3 linked regions of the Neurospora crassa OR74A genome follow. The protein of the gene in region 3 interacts with the protein of the main gene of each other region in a pairwise test. Links are inferred from orthologs where the notes say so. Each region holds a gene or a part of one and is shown on either strand. Other genes may lie near its edges.

Region 1 (3,925 bases), on a different chromosome or scaffold from region 3:
GTGTGGAGCTCCGGCAGCAGGAGACGGATGTCTCTGCTTTTGTGGAGGCGCTGCGGAAGAGAGGATTCCTCCTGCAGAGGGAGTATGGCCAGAAGGCGGTGGACATGGATAACAAAATGTTTGTCAAGATGCACTTTGTCAAGGCGATGCCGGCCATCAAGGGCAAGTGTGCGGACCTGAAGAAGGAGGCGCTCAAGACGACGCAGACGGATGCCAAGGGGCGGCCTATCAAGACGCCCAAGTTCATCGATGCCGACGAGGAGGCGTCCTTCAACGAGAACGCTCTTCTGAAGCCGTGTGTGTACAAGATCAGGTAGACGAACGGATGTGTGTGTGTGATTCAGTACGAATAGTCAGTTAATGGAAAGGCTTATGAACTACTTCCTCTTTGAACACACACTTCATCTTGACATTGATATGTAAGCTTGGTACGTACTCTGTCCTATGTAGTTGTATGCTACAGACCTTGTCAATACCGATCTGGTCCGTATGTTATACTACTACAAGTCCCATCGTATTTACAGCTCGATTGAACGGGTCCGATTAAACTGGTCAAGCAGCGAAGCATGGTTTTAAGAACGCTTCAATGGTTGTGGAGATCTTTTACTTGCTTGCCCATATGACTATAACATCGATACCATATCTTTACTGTCCATTCAACTCTTGACGTCCAAATAACATGGATTTGCGCCGCTTCCATCCGATCCACTAAAAGCAGATATATGCTCTCTATGTTCATGCCAACAACTCCCAACTTCCTTTAATTTATCAGAACCCCTCAAAGATCAAACTGGCCGCATACTCAACGTTCCCGTCCGTCGCCTCCAAAGCCCGAATCGCCTTTTGCTCATCAGCACCGAGTGCTACAAGCTGCTCAATATGCTCCCGGGGAAAAGACCGGGCTTGAGGCGCTCGAGGTGCGGGAGCGGAAGCGGAAGCGGGAGCGGGAGCGGGAGCAGAGGGACCTGGCTGTGCAGCAGTAGACGGACCAGCCTGACCCTGGCGATGCTGTGCAGTACCAGGTCCCGAAACCGCGCCGGTACGCTGGCCGATGGTCGTGCCGCCGGGACCCTCAATCGTAGGCTCATCCTGAAGCGCCTCCTCCGTCGCCTTCGGTATGTCCGCCTCACCCAAAAAGGGAATCTCCTCGCCCTGGATGACGAGCGCGTTCTTGGCCAGATCGATACAAGCCTGGTAACGTTTCAACATGTCCAAGCCGAGAAGCATATCCACATTCTTGCCCTCCATGACGGTGAAACTGCATGGCAGGAAGAGCGAGCCGATCTTAACAGGAGCCGTGTGCACACGACCAATGATTTTGGCAGTTCCGACGCCCTTGGCGATACCACCGTACCGCTTGTCGACCAGGCGCATGATACCACACGCCTCGGCAATGTCGGGACTCATGATCGTGGCTTGAGCTCCGGAGTCCACGAGGGCCTTGACCTTGGCCCCGTTTACCTCAACATCCAGATACAGCATGTGTACGGTACCGAATACTGCAAACAACAGCAAACGAAGTTAGCGGCAGCTTCCCGACCACAACAGGGTAACCCTCCGACTCTATGCTTTCACTTACCCTCAGGATTATGCTCCATAGCAGTCTGCAGGTTCTCGGTAACCCGCTCCTGGCGAATGATCTCCTCGATCCTCGCCTGCGCCTCCGGATTGAACGGATCCTCGTTCAACTGCTGGATTATCCGATGACGCTCCGCCCTTTCCCTCTGTTCCCTGTCGTACCTCTCCCGGAAGAGCTGCGCCCACCGTTGGGGGTCATTGATAGCGGCCGCCAAGTCGGGGGCTGTCCTCTCCACCTCGGCCCGCAGAGCCGGATTCGCCAGGAACTGCAGACGCAAAAACTCGGGATCTTGTTGAGGGGGCGCCGCTGGCCTTCCTTGCTGTGACTCGGGAACCGCCGTGGCCCGTTGTGTTTCGCGGACGTGGAGGGCCAGCATGTCGCCGTCGGTGACGTTGAGCTGGGTCAGGGTCTTGGAGTTGTCGGTGATCAGGTTGCCGTTGTGGTAGAGGTGTTGTGTGCTGGGGTGGTGGCTGGTTTCCGCCTGGATCGAGTTGCGCAGCGTTTCGAGCGTCATGTCGGGAAAGACTTGGAGGGAGAGGAAGTCTTGATCGTCTCCCGTCGTGTCCTGGATGGCGATGGTTATTTGCCTGTTAGAGACTCAAGTTAGCGACTATGGGAGTGACGACTTCAGTTCGTTGTCTTTTGTCATCAGCTTACATGGTGACGTCGTTCGTCCTAGGCGGGACAGCAAGAGCGCGGGAAGTAGATGTTGGAGAGATGGCGTCACCGGCCAAACCTAGAAGAGTGCCTGGATGAGGGAGTGGGGGGAGAAGAGAAAGTGTAAACGAGGAAGAAGCGGAATTCTAAAGCTGTTTACAAACGGAAAAAAGGCAAGAAGGCTGAGTAATTGTACAGTTCAAGATTCCAGAAAGTGAAGGGAGGCGGCCGGGCGGGTGGCAGTTATTGAGGGGCTCTGGGGCAGGCAGGCACGCGGGCGATCCAGTGGGTCCGGGGCAAGCCGTCCGCAGCTTTCTGGACTGTTTATGCAAGGATCCTGGACTGACTGTTGGTTGCAATTGACACGCTCCAGTTCGTGTTACAGCTACCACTGTAACCTGAAAATAGTAGCAGTTGACCGCGCCCTAGGTATACACTACAGTACAAGTCCAGAATCAACAGGTACTTACTTGGCCAAAGTAAAGATGTAGCTGCAATCGGACTGTCCAATTAGCAGCTCCATCGATGACATGAATGGAAGCTCCCCGTTGGTGGAGCTAAAACTGGACGGTACTTGTAAGGACTACCTACGTTGGCCCGGTGAAAGCATCGCGATCCGTCATGTATGTAAACAAATCCAGTTTCGATCGGGAGGACATGACAACGTCTTGCTTCTTCGTATTTGTTTCCTCGACAACTTCAAAAAAGTATCTCCGTACTCCGCTTCACTTGGGGAACTGAAGCCAACTGTCATGTGTTTTCCTCTTTGGGAACCATTTCTGGGTGACTTGTCTTCTTCCAGCATGCCAGGCTCTCCGCTTCCAGTAGTGGATGCTCGCGAATCTGCCGAAACGGCGTGAGGCTCAATTCGGAAGTTCCCACAGGAGAGTGGTTCCTAGTGACAGGTTCCTGGAGCTAAAACGGGACGGGCATACAAACCTTGATCGTCTTGTAAGTGCTATGCACGCTACGACACAGTGGTTTCTGCTTGTGATCCAATTTGGAACTGTCACGCTGTACCTGGCTCTTTTTGAACTGTTTACAGGAATTGCACAATGGAAGCTGTCGGAAGTACGTGGAGACTTCTCTGTTGAGGTGACAGGAATACCCAGGTTAGAATAAGCAGCTATGATTGTTTGATCTTGTGCTATCTATATAAGGATACTAGGTGAGCATTTTTGGGTACTTGTTTGTATGAATTCACGGACAAGCTCCCAAGTTGCATGATTCCTTTGAAGTTTCCATCTTATCAGATTGCGACAGTTGAAGTCAAGGTCTGTATCAAGTTGACTTCTAAGAAGCTCCTAAACAACCTAGGCAGAGTCCACCGGCCCTCCTCCGAGCTCCGATGTATACCTACCTTTAAACTAGAGGTATCCCGACAACCTGCCCCGATGACTCGCATACAAAGGCTTTTCCCACCCGTCCAGCCCCATCTGCCCTTCAGTCCACTTCGGTATCTGACAGCGTTCCGTGGCCGCCACGGCTTGTCAAGTCTCAAAAGTCCCCATGTTCATGCAGGCAGGTTGGCCCGTTTTGAGATGTCGTGCGCCAAAGCCGGTGTGAAGTCCAGTCCAGACTCCGGCTTACTTCCTTAAGCCGAATGTACATACCATTCATCGGGACTTTCATTGGGGCTGGACGTTCCGTTTGAGAACAGGTAGGTACATACATAGGTAGGTCAGGTGG
Region 2 (4,185 bases), on a different chromosome or scaffold from region 3:
AGGTTTTATCAACCTCAAGGACCCCAAACACCGAGTTGTACAATAGTACTAGTCCTTGCCACTTTTCTCTATTATAAGCACGTAACCATCTCTAGCGACACTCTGCTGCAGCACAGTATCAGTCACGCTGAATGACTTGGATCCAAGTCGCCATCATGATGCCTCGATCCTTGGCAAGTATTGGCGCATCTGGAACCAAGACGGGAACGGCGCGAGGGAGGATTTGATGTGACCGCCGCGTGCACCGGTTGGCCAGCACGGTTCGCTGCCATCATGATGTGGAGGGTGAGAGAAGGCAAATGGTCTCTCCCGGTCGACGCCGGTCTCAGGTCATCATGGACCGTGATGGATGACTGATCCTAGGTTCACCACCAGGGTGGCCGGGCTTCGGTGCCCTGCTTGGCTTGCCGGGTTGACAACCCCCACTCCATCAGCTGAGCTGATATCGCAGGGCTGCCTCACTTCTCATCAGAGGTATATATTGAGTATCACCATGTTGAACCGCGGCGGGTAAGAGGAAAGCACGGTGTAGCATGACTGCGACGGGTATAAAAACGGGTATACGTACGCACTTCAGGACGGTATGCGTAAAAAAATGATTGGTCATTCTCATGGTGGAATAGAGTTTCCTATGCCAAGCGACCGTCCTCTCTCTCATTCACCGAGACTCAACCTTGACTTCGAACCACAAAAATGGTGATCAGTGTTATTTCGGCTTGGAGAAGGCAAAAACTATCTCAGTCACACTGGAGGGGCAAGTTAAGGATCGCTCATATAAGAAGCCACCTGATACCTTAGCTCCCTAGGTAGCCGCCTGAAGAAGGGGTATGTAGCTGAACGACGGGCAGGCTCATGGAAATGAAACATGTGCAGTGTGACATGTGCAGTGCGCCCTCCCTTCAGTCCCATCTATACAGGCTGACGGGCAGTTGGAAAGCTTGAGTAGGAGAAATGAGAATGGGAACAGTAGAAGACAAAAGTAAAACTTGAAAGACGCAGTGCAGAGCGAGTCCTCTCTTATGCTGGATGACGAGCATCTGCAGGGAAAGGTGAGTATGCGTGCTGGTAGCAATCGTGACGGGACCGCGCCGGAGCATGACGAGGACTTTTTTGGAGTTTGGCGAGATTGGATACCACAACCCAGCACTGCACTGCAGCATGTGGAGTCGACGACGCAGCTGGAAGTGACATCATTTCAAAGGGCATCCATCTTCACCTTCAAAGCTCCCCTGCAAGTCTGGAGCCACGAGGTCACGTGTAACCCATCAAAGCACGAGCCTCTGCCGTTTATCGGTACGTACCTTATCCTGACATGGCGCTCTGATACCTAGTCTAGAGGCGGGAGCTGAGTCTTGGCATTGGGAGCCGGCCGGGTGTGTTGCGTTGACCTGAAGCTGCCTGTCTTCAGAAGGTCACCGAACGCCATCACCACCTCCACCCGGCCATTTCACCACCAGTAAACATCACCACCGCAACCCGCCACCACGATCGAGTGTCTGCGCATCGCAACACACAACTAATCTCGACGAGCAAGCGACGACCGAATACCGACCACGCACCCAAGGGCAAACCTATCCCACCTTACACAAAACAAACAATCACTAATCCCCCCCCGCGAGAGCTCCGTCTCTCCCCCACACGCCGTCACCATGGCGCTCGACAACTATTATCACAACAAGATCGAGGCCATGAAGCTCGAGATCCTCAAGGGCCAAGCCGTCCTCCGCCGTCTCGAAGCGCAACGAAATGACTACAACTCGCGTGTGCGCCTGCTCAGGGAAGAGCTCGGTCTGCTACAACAGCCCGGGTCCTATGTGGGTGAGGTCGTCAAGGTTATGAGCACAAAGAAGGTCCTCGTCAAGGTACACCCTGAGGGCAAATATGGTATGCGCACTCCGCCTCCTTCTGGAGTGTCCTGTTTTACGGATGGGTAAACAGATGGAAGTAACTGACCTATTGCCCCGCCGCCTACCAGTTGTCGATGTATCCGACAATGTCGACATCACCAAGCTCACCGTCGGCAAGCGCGTCACCCTTCTCTCAGACTCGTACAAGCTCGAAAAGATGCTTCCCTCCTCAGTAGACCCGCTCGTGTCCCTCATGATGGTCGAAAAGGTGCCCGACAGTACTTACGATATGATTGGTGGTTTGGACCAGCAAATCAAGGAGATCAAGGAGGTGATCGAGCTCGGCCTCAAGCACCCCGAGCTGTTCGAGTCGCTAGGTATCGCCCAACCAAAGGGTGTCCTGCTCTACGGCCCTCCCGGTACCGGCAAGACCCTGCTCGCCCGTGCCGTTGCCCACCACACCGACTGCAAGTTCATCCGTGTCTCGGGTTCCGAGCTCGTGCAAAAGTACATCGGCGAGGGTTCCCGCATGGTACGCGAGCTGTTCGTCATGGCGCGCGAGCACGCGCCCTCCATCATCTTTATGGACGAGATCGACTCCATCGGCTCTTCGCGTGTCGAGGGTTCGTCTGGCGGCGACTCCGAAGTCCAGCGCACCATGCTCGAGCTCCTCAACCAGCTTGACGGTTTCGAGCCCACCAAGAACATCAAGGTTATCATGGCCACCAACCGTCTCGACATTCTCGACCCCGCCCTCTTGCGCCCTGGCCGCATCGACCGCAAGATCGAGTTCCCTCCGCCGAGCGTCGAGGCCCGTGCCGACATTCTGCGCATTCACAGCCGCAAGATGAACCTGACGCGCGGCATCAACCTGACCAAGATCGCCGAGAAGATGAACGGGTGCTCGGGCGCCGAACTCAAGGGTGTCTGTACCGAGGCCGGCATGTACGCCCTCCGCGAGAGGCGCGTGCATGTCACACAGGAGGACTTTGAACTGGCCACGGCCAAGATTCTGAATAAGCATGATGATAAGGAGGTGTCGTTGGCCAAATTGTGGCGTTAAGTCTGCCCGGGGAGGGGAAAAGTGAAGGAAGAGTGGTGGTTTCATGCGTGCAACGATATGATACAGAATACAATAGTACTTTTATGGGAAAAGTAACTGACTCAGCTTTTTTTTACTTTCCTTGGTGCATCACTCTCAAGACTGCCTTTGTCGTCTGCATAGGCTGTCTGAAAGTGTATCGTTTTGTACATTCCAAGATTGAAAGCGGTCCTTGGCAACAACGGAGTATACCTACTCTCTCCTCTAGCGGAATCAACAGAATGGAGATGCAAACATTACCGTTGACTTTCAGACGTATCCTGGGCCCTGTTGCCGCCTTGACTCTGCACTAGGTCATTACCGGATTTCAGAACAACGGTCACACGAAGACGAATATCATGCCGAAACTGAGAGTAAATTGTGCATTGGAATGGCGTCGGTCTCTCGAATGTCAAATGGTTATTTGTAAGCTGCGTGGCCATCCGTGAGGAAGTGGCGAACCCTCATAGTATCTTGAACTACAGTTTCTGTCTTTCAGGGACAACTACAACCTGTAAAGCCGCGCCGGCACGAAAGACAAATACCGAGACGAAAGGATATTGTGCTCCAAGCTACTAACACAAAGTCCCAGCCAAACTCTCACGAAACCGCGCCATGCAAGAACTAACTTACAAACCACAGACCAAAACGAGACGCCTATTCACATGCAAGTTTTCAAGTACTCCAAACACCAGCAGCAGTAATACTTTGAGCGAAGTTCAGGTGATGGCAAATGGTTCATGGTAATGGTAACAATGGAAAACGACAGGAAAAGTGCAGAGAAGGGGGTACTGGGAAACTTGAGGTATACGTAGACAAACGTACGACAACGACAACAACAACAACAACACACACCCAAAAAAAAAAAAAAAAAAAAAAAAAAAGGCAACAACAACGTAACAAGATGATGACACGCTCTCCCACCAACCGGCCAGCCAACCCAAAAATATGCTAGTAGTAGTAATAGTGGTAGTAGTAGTAGTAGTAGCAGTAAAGGAAGACTTTGATCATCATGCCATCTTCATCTCTTCGTCCCTTACTTCCTCGGTTCATCCGTCCATCAGTCCTTTCTCTCTCTCACTCTCCTTCTGTCGCTGTGTGGTCCACCGCCGTGTTGTAAATGGAGACAACAACGGATCAAGAACCATATAATGTATCTATCCCATCCCTTCCATCCCGTTCCATATCCATTCCATTTCCCTTTCCGTGCCAAAATGCTCTTTTCTTTTCGATCTGTCTATTCGCCTGCACCGAAGC
Region 3 (4,006 bases):
TCTCCTTCTTCTTCTACTTTCCTTCTTCTTTCCTTTGTATTTTTCATATCTTGGGGGAGGGGAGGAGGATTTTGTTTTGAGGACGTGAATATGATACCTTTGATTGCGAGGCGTTGGACTTGAGTTCCATACCTAAAGATGGGTCTTGGATAGGTGGGATTTGTGTATAGAAAAGCTCGGCTATGGTTGGATAGAAGGATGGCTAGATGATGGATGGATTCAGATAGATGCTTCTCTGCGCTATGCGCGAGACGGACGACTGAAAGATGTAGCGGATGAGAACCGAAGAAGTCAGAACAAAAGATCGTGCCCACGAAATATGCGCGGTGACATTGAGCTGTGATTTTCCATCTAAGCTATGATGCTTAGACGTCCGACCATGACTGCGATGGAGATGTAGGTAGCTTGGAAGCTTGGGAATGGTGATGAGAGAAACCAGAATAAAACGATGTCTGGCTCAAATCATGTTTGCTGCCTTGAAAAGTAACCCCAATGCTACCGTTCCGTCGTTTTTGCGATGATAACCGAAGGGAAGGTTACTCGTAGTCAATTCAATGTCACGATCCACGTCGGGTCACGAACGTGACGGAGGCCTTATCTTATCTGGTGCTCTTTCCAAGGGAGCCTACCAATGCGTATGATTGGTACAGATGGAAGGTGTTCTTCAGCCCCATTTTATACGCGCTTATGAGTGGAGATCTATTACCTAGTATTGCCGTGACACTGCCATAATCAGCGATGACTTCATCTTCTTCATCGCAAAAAAAATTCAAATAGAATAAAAAGAGATGAAAGAAGATGGGTCCTTTGGATTGGCTCACAGCATGACATCAAACATTCCCCTTTGATTTTGCATCAACTTCCATCGCCAACGGAAGCATGTGGTTATCAGTTCAGTGACATTCAAAAGCAAGACTAACAAAGAAAACCAATTCATGTTTTTCAACGCAACAAGGCCAACACAACCTGGAAAGTGAATGGATCCATGGGATCAATCAGTCTGTGTTGTGTGTACAGACGGACGGGATGGCAGCGTGACGACTGTGACCTCTCCACCAGCTCCAGGCGGCAAGATGCCGCGCAGCCCCCCCCGCCTAACAATGGCCGCTGCCTTGTGCCTGTCCACTGCACTTTGCCTGCCGCTTCCCCCCAGCCATTCACTGCCGTAGGTAGCACACCGTGAACCTGGCTACCCGCCTGCTGTGCCCCTCTTCCATTCAGTGCACTCAGGTGAAGCGAACAAACCCCAAATTCTCCGCCTCAAAGCTGCCTCATCAGTCATCACAAGCCGCTGTAAAACGTTCAAGCTTCCCTGCTACCTTCCATATTTCTTGCCACAGCGATTACAACTATCTCCTCCCCTGTATGCCACCTCGCCATCTCTGCGGCAGCCTTCCCACACACATCAACCTTACCACAGCAACCAACTAACCACTTCCACTTTTTTTCCTCGTCCTCGCCCAACTCCGCCGACTGCAACAAATCTTGCTGTCTCCCATCGCGACTCGGAACCCAACGAAGCTCGCCCGTCCGGACAGACTTTACTTACATCATCAGACTCTCAGTGTCAACGTAGCAGCCGTTTAGCTGCGTCGCAGATTGCCCATCATGAAGGTTACTTTCAAGGTACGTGCCCATAAGCTTGCCCATGTCGAGTGTTTGACGTAGCCAGCCAGCCAGCCAGCCAGGCAGACAACGAGCCAGACGTACCGCGATGGCTTCTCAGCAAATTCGGAAACAACCCAGCGTCTTCTTTGAATCCTGTCTGCCTGGTTGGATCAGAGCTCGCTCCCTCTGTCCATAAGCTCTCAAAGTCTATATAGTCAAATACTAACAATGACTGTTCGTTCATCTAGGACCTCAAACAACAAAAGTTTACGCTCGAGATCGAGCCTACCGAGACTGTTGGTTACCCTTCGTCGCCTCCCATTTCCTTACACCCTTTACCTCAGGCCGACGTCATGGAGACATCCAACACGCCGTGACAGCCCTCGACAATCGAATGCTCTGTCGGCGTCGCGAGCCTCCCATGTCGCTTCGGGAGACGTGCATGATGCTGGCGAGCTAGAAGCTAACCGGTTGCAGATTTCCAAGGTCAAGCAGAAGATCTCCGAGGAGAGGGGCTGGGCTCCCGAGCTGCAGAAGCTTATCTACTCCGGTAAGCATCGCTTGCTTCTCAAACGATGGATACCGCTCCCGAATACTGACTTTACCCCAACAGGTAAGATCTTGAAGGATGAGGAGACCGTCGAGTCGTACAAGATCGAGGAGAAGGGCTTCGTTGTCTGCGTCGTGAACAAGGTACTATTTCCCCCGTTATTACTCACGTCCTTGTACAAAGATGAAGCTGACACTTTGCGCAGCCCAAGACCACTGCCCCCAAGCCAGCCGAGTCGTCGTCGTCTGCCGCTGCCCCCGCTACCCCCGCTGCCGCCGCCCCGGCCTCAACACCTGCTCCCCCTGCCGCTCCCGCGGCCTCCAGCGCTGCTGCCGCTGCCCCTTCGACGCCGACGCCCGCTAGAACCGCTGCGGCTCCTGAGGCGGCCCCAGCTGCCGGTGCTCGCGATGCCAACGCCCTTGCCATGGGCGAGCAGCGCGCCGAGGCCATTGCCAACATGGAGGCTATGGGTTTCGAGCGTTCGCAGATTGACGCTGCTATGCGTGCCGCCTTTTTCAACCCCGAGCGCGCTGTGGAGTATCTCTTGAACGTACGTTTCACAACTCATTCCACTTTCCGATCTATGTCTGGTTTACTGACACAGCTTTAGGGTATTCCCGCCAACCTCCAGCAACAAACTGCCTCTCGCCAGCCTTCTGCCGCTCCGGCTGCTGCCCCTGCTGCTGCCGCTCAGGCGGCTTCCCCCGCTGCTGCCGGTGGTGATGATGACGATCAAGTCAACCTTTTCGACCTTGCCGCTCAGCTCGGCAACAGCGCTGGCGGACGTGGTGCTCGTGGTGCGGAGGGTGCTGGTGCCGAGGCCGCTGGTCTTGGTAACCTCGACTTCCTCCGCAACAACGCGCAATTCCAGCAAATGCGTCAGCTTGTACAGGAGCAGCCCCAGATGCTGGAGCCTATCTTGCAACAGCTCGGTGCCGGCAACCCTCAGCTTGCCCAGATGATCGCCCAGAACTCGGATCAGTTCCTGAACCTCCTTGGCGAGGGTGGTGAGGGTGGCTCTGTCGGTATTGCTGTCACAGAAGAGGAACGCGATGCCATTGAGCGTCTCACCCGCCTGGGCTTTCCCCAGGACCAGGCCATCCAGGCCTACTTCGCTTGCGACAAGGACGAGGAGCTTGCCGCCAACTTCCTTTTCGATCAAGGACCGGAGGAAGATGACGACATGCCCCAACAATAAATAGGGGTGAGACTGTAGGCTGGAATGAGATATTTTTGGGTTTTTCGTAACTGGGCGTTAAAAGTCGTTGGCAGGGTGGATTTTCGTTAGCAGCTGCCTTTGCATTTGAAATGTGGGCGACGGCTGGATGGTTTGGGCTTGCTTAGGATGCATTGGAGACTTTATGATGACATTATACCTTAGGGAGCTCAAAATGCTCAACACTGCTGATCAACGTTCACATGCAATATACGGGTGGGCTTTGTGTGTCTGATCTATCCACTGCGCGACAGGTTTCGACGAGTTTTAGTAAGGAAGCATCAAGAGTGAATGGGGTGATGACACTGAAAAAAATGCTTCGCGGAGATCTAGATCAAGGATAACTACAGAGGTGTGGTGTTTTCACAGCTTACGAATCACTCTATTCTTTATGTACTCTATAGTCCTGTCCCTTGAAGAGTGAACGAAGCATTCCCATCACGAACCATAACCAGCAATGAAAACGAAGATAAGATCCGAGACCATGAAACCGTCCGCATACAAGTAGTATGATCAAGAACCCTTTTTTTTTGTGTGTCTCCATTTGTTTTTCCCTTCCCTATTTCCATACCTAACTAAGTGCCCCTCCGGTTGATGGGTATATAAAACCTATTTGATCCCTGATGGTAAAA

What was found.
Region 1: the proteins of rad23 (region 3) and NCU05292 interact in a two-hybrid assay, tested with the Saccharomyces cerevisiae proteins (2 studies listed by BioGRID). The link is inferred for Neurospora crassa OR74A from reciprocal best matches to the Saccharomyces cerevisiae genes RAD23 and DDI1.
Region 2: the proteins of rad23 (region 3) and NCU05363 interact in binary tests that used the Saccharomyces cerevisiae proteins (3 or more experiments, as listed by UniProt). The link is inferred for Neurospora crassa OR74A from reciprocal best matches to the Saccharomyces cerevisiae genes RAD23 and RPT6.

What each region holds. Positions count from the first base shown.
Region 1 is NC_026504.1:5,438,511-5,442,435, forward strand, and holds NCU05292 (DNA damage-inducible protein 1), read right to left. Parts: upstream 2,513-3,925; 5' UTR 2,239-2,512; coding exon 2,237-2,238; intron 2,167-2,236; coding exon 1,580-2,166; intron 1,500-1,579; coding exon 769-1,499; 3' UTR 513-768; downstream 1-512. Other genes in the region: NCU05293 (rRNA processing protein Rrp8), read left to right, coding at 1-317. UniProt on the Saccharomyces cerevisiae protein: Aspartic protease. Appears to act as negative regulator of constitutive exocytosis. May act at the level of secretory vesicle docking and fusion as a competitive inhibitor of SNARE assembly.
Region 2 is NC_026502.1:1,421,547-1,425,731, forward strand, and holds NCU05363 (26S protease regulatory subunit 8), read left to right. Parts: upstream 1-1,349; 5' UTR 1,350-1,649; coding exon 1,650-1,884; intron 1,885-1,975; coding exon 1,976-2,910; 3' UTR 2,911-3,679; downstream 3,680-4,185. UniProt on the Saccharomyces cerevisiae protein: The 26S proteasome is involved in the ATP-dependent degradation of ubiquitinated proteins. The regulatory (or ATPase) complex confers ATP dependency and substrate specificity to the 26S complex.
Region 3 is NC_026503.1:4,431,823-4,435,828, reverse strand, and holds rad23 (rad23-like protein), read left to right. Parts: upstream 1-1,185; 5' UTR 1,186-1,608; coding exon 1,609-1,626; intron 1,627-1,856; coding exon 1,857-1,904; intron 1,905-2,085; coding exon 2,086-2,158; intron 2,159-2,221; coding exon 2,222-2,301; intron 2,302-2,363; coding exon 2,364-2,708; intron 2,709-2,768; coding exon 2,769-3,356; 3' UTR 3,357-3,856; downstream 3,857-4,006. UniProt on the Saccharomyces cerevisiae protein: Plays a central role both in proteasomal degradation of misfolded proteins and DNA repair.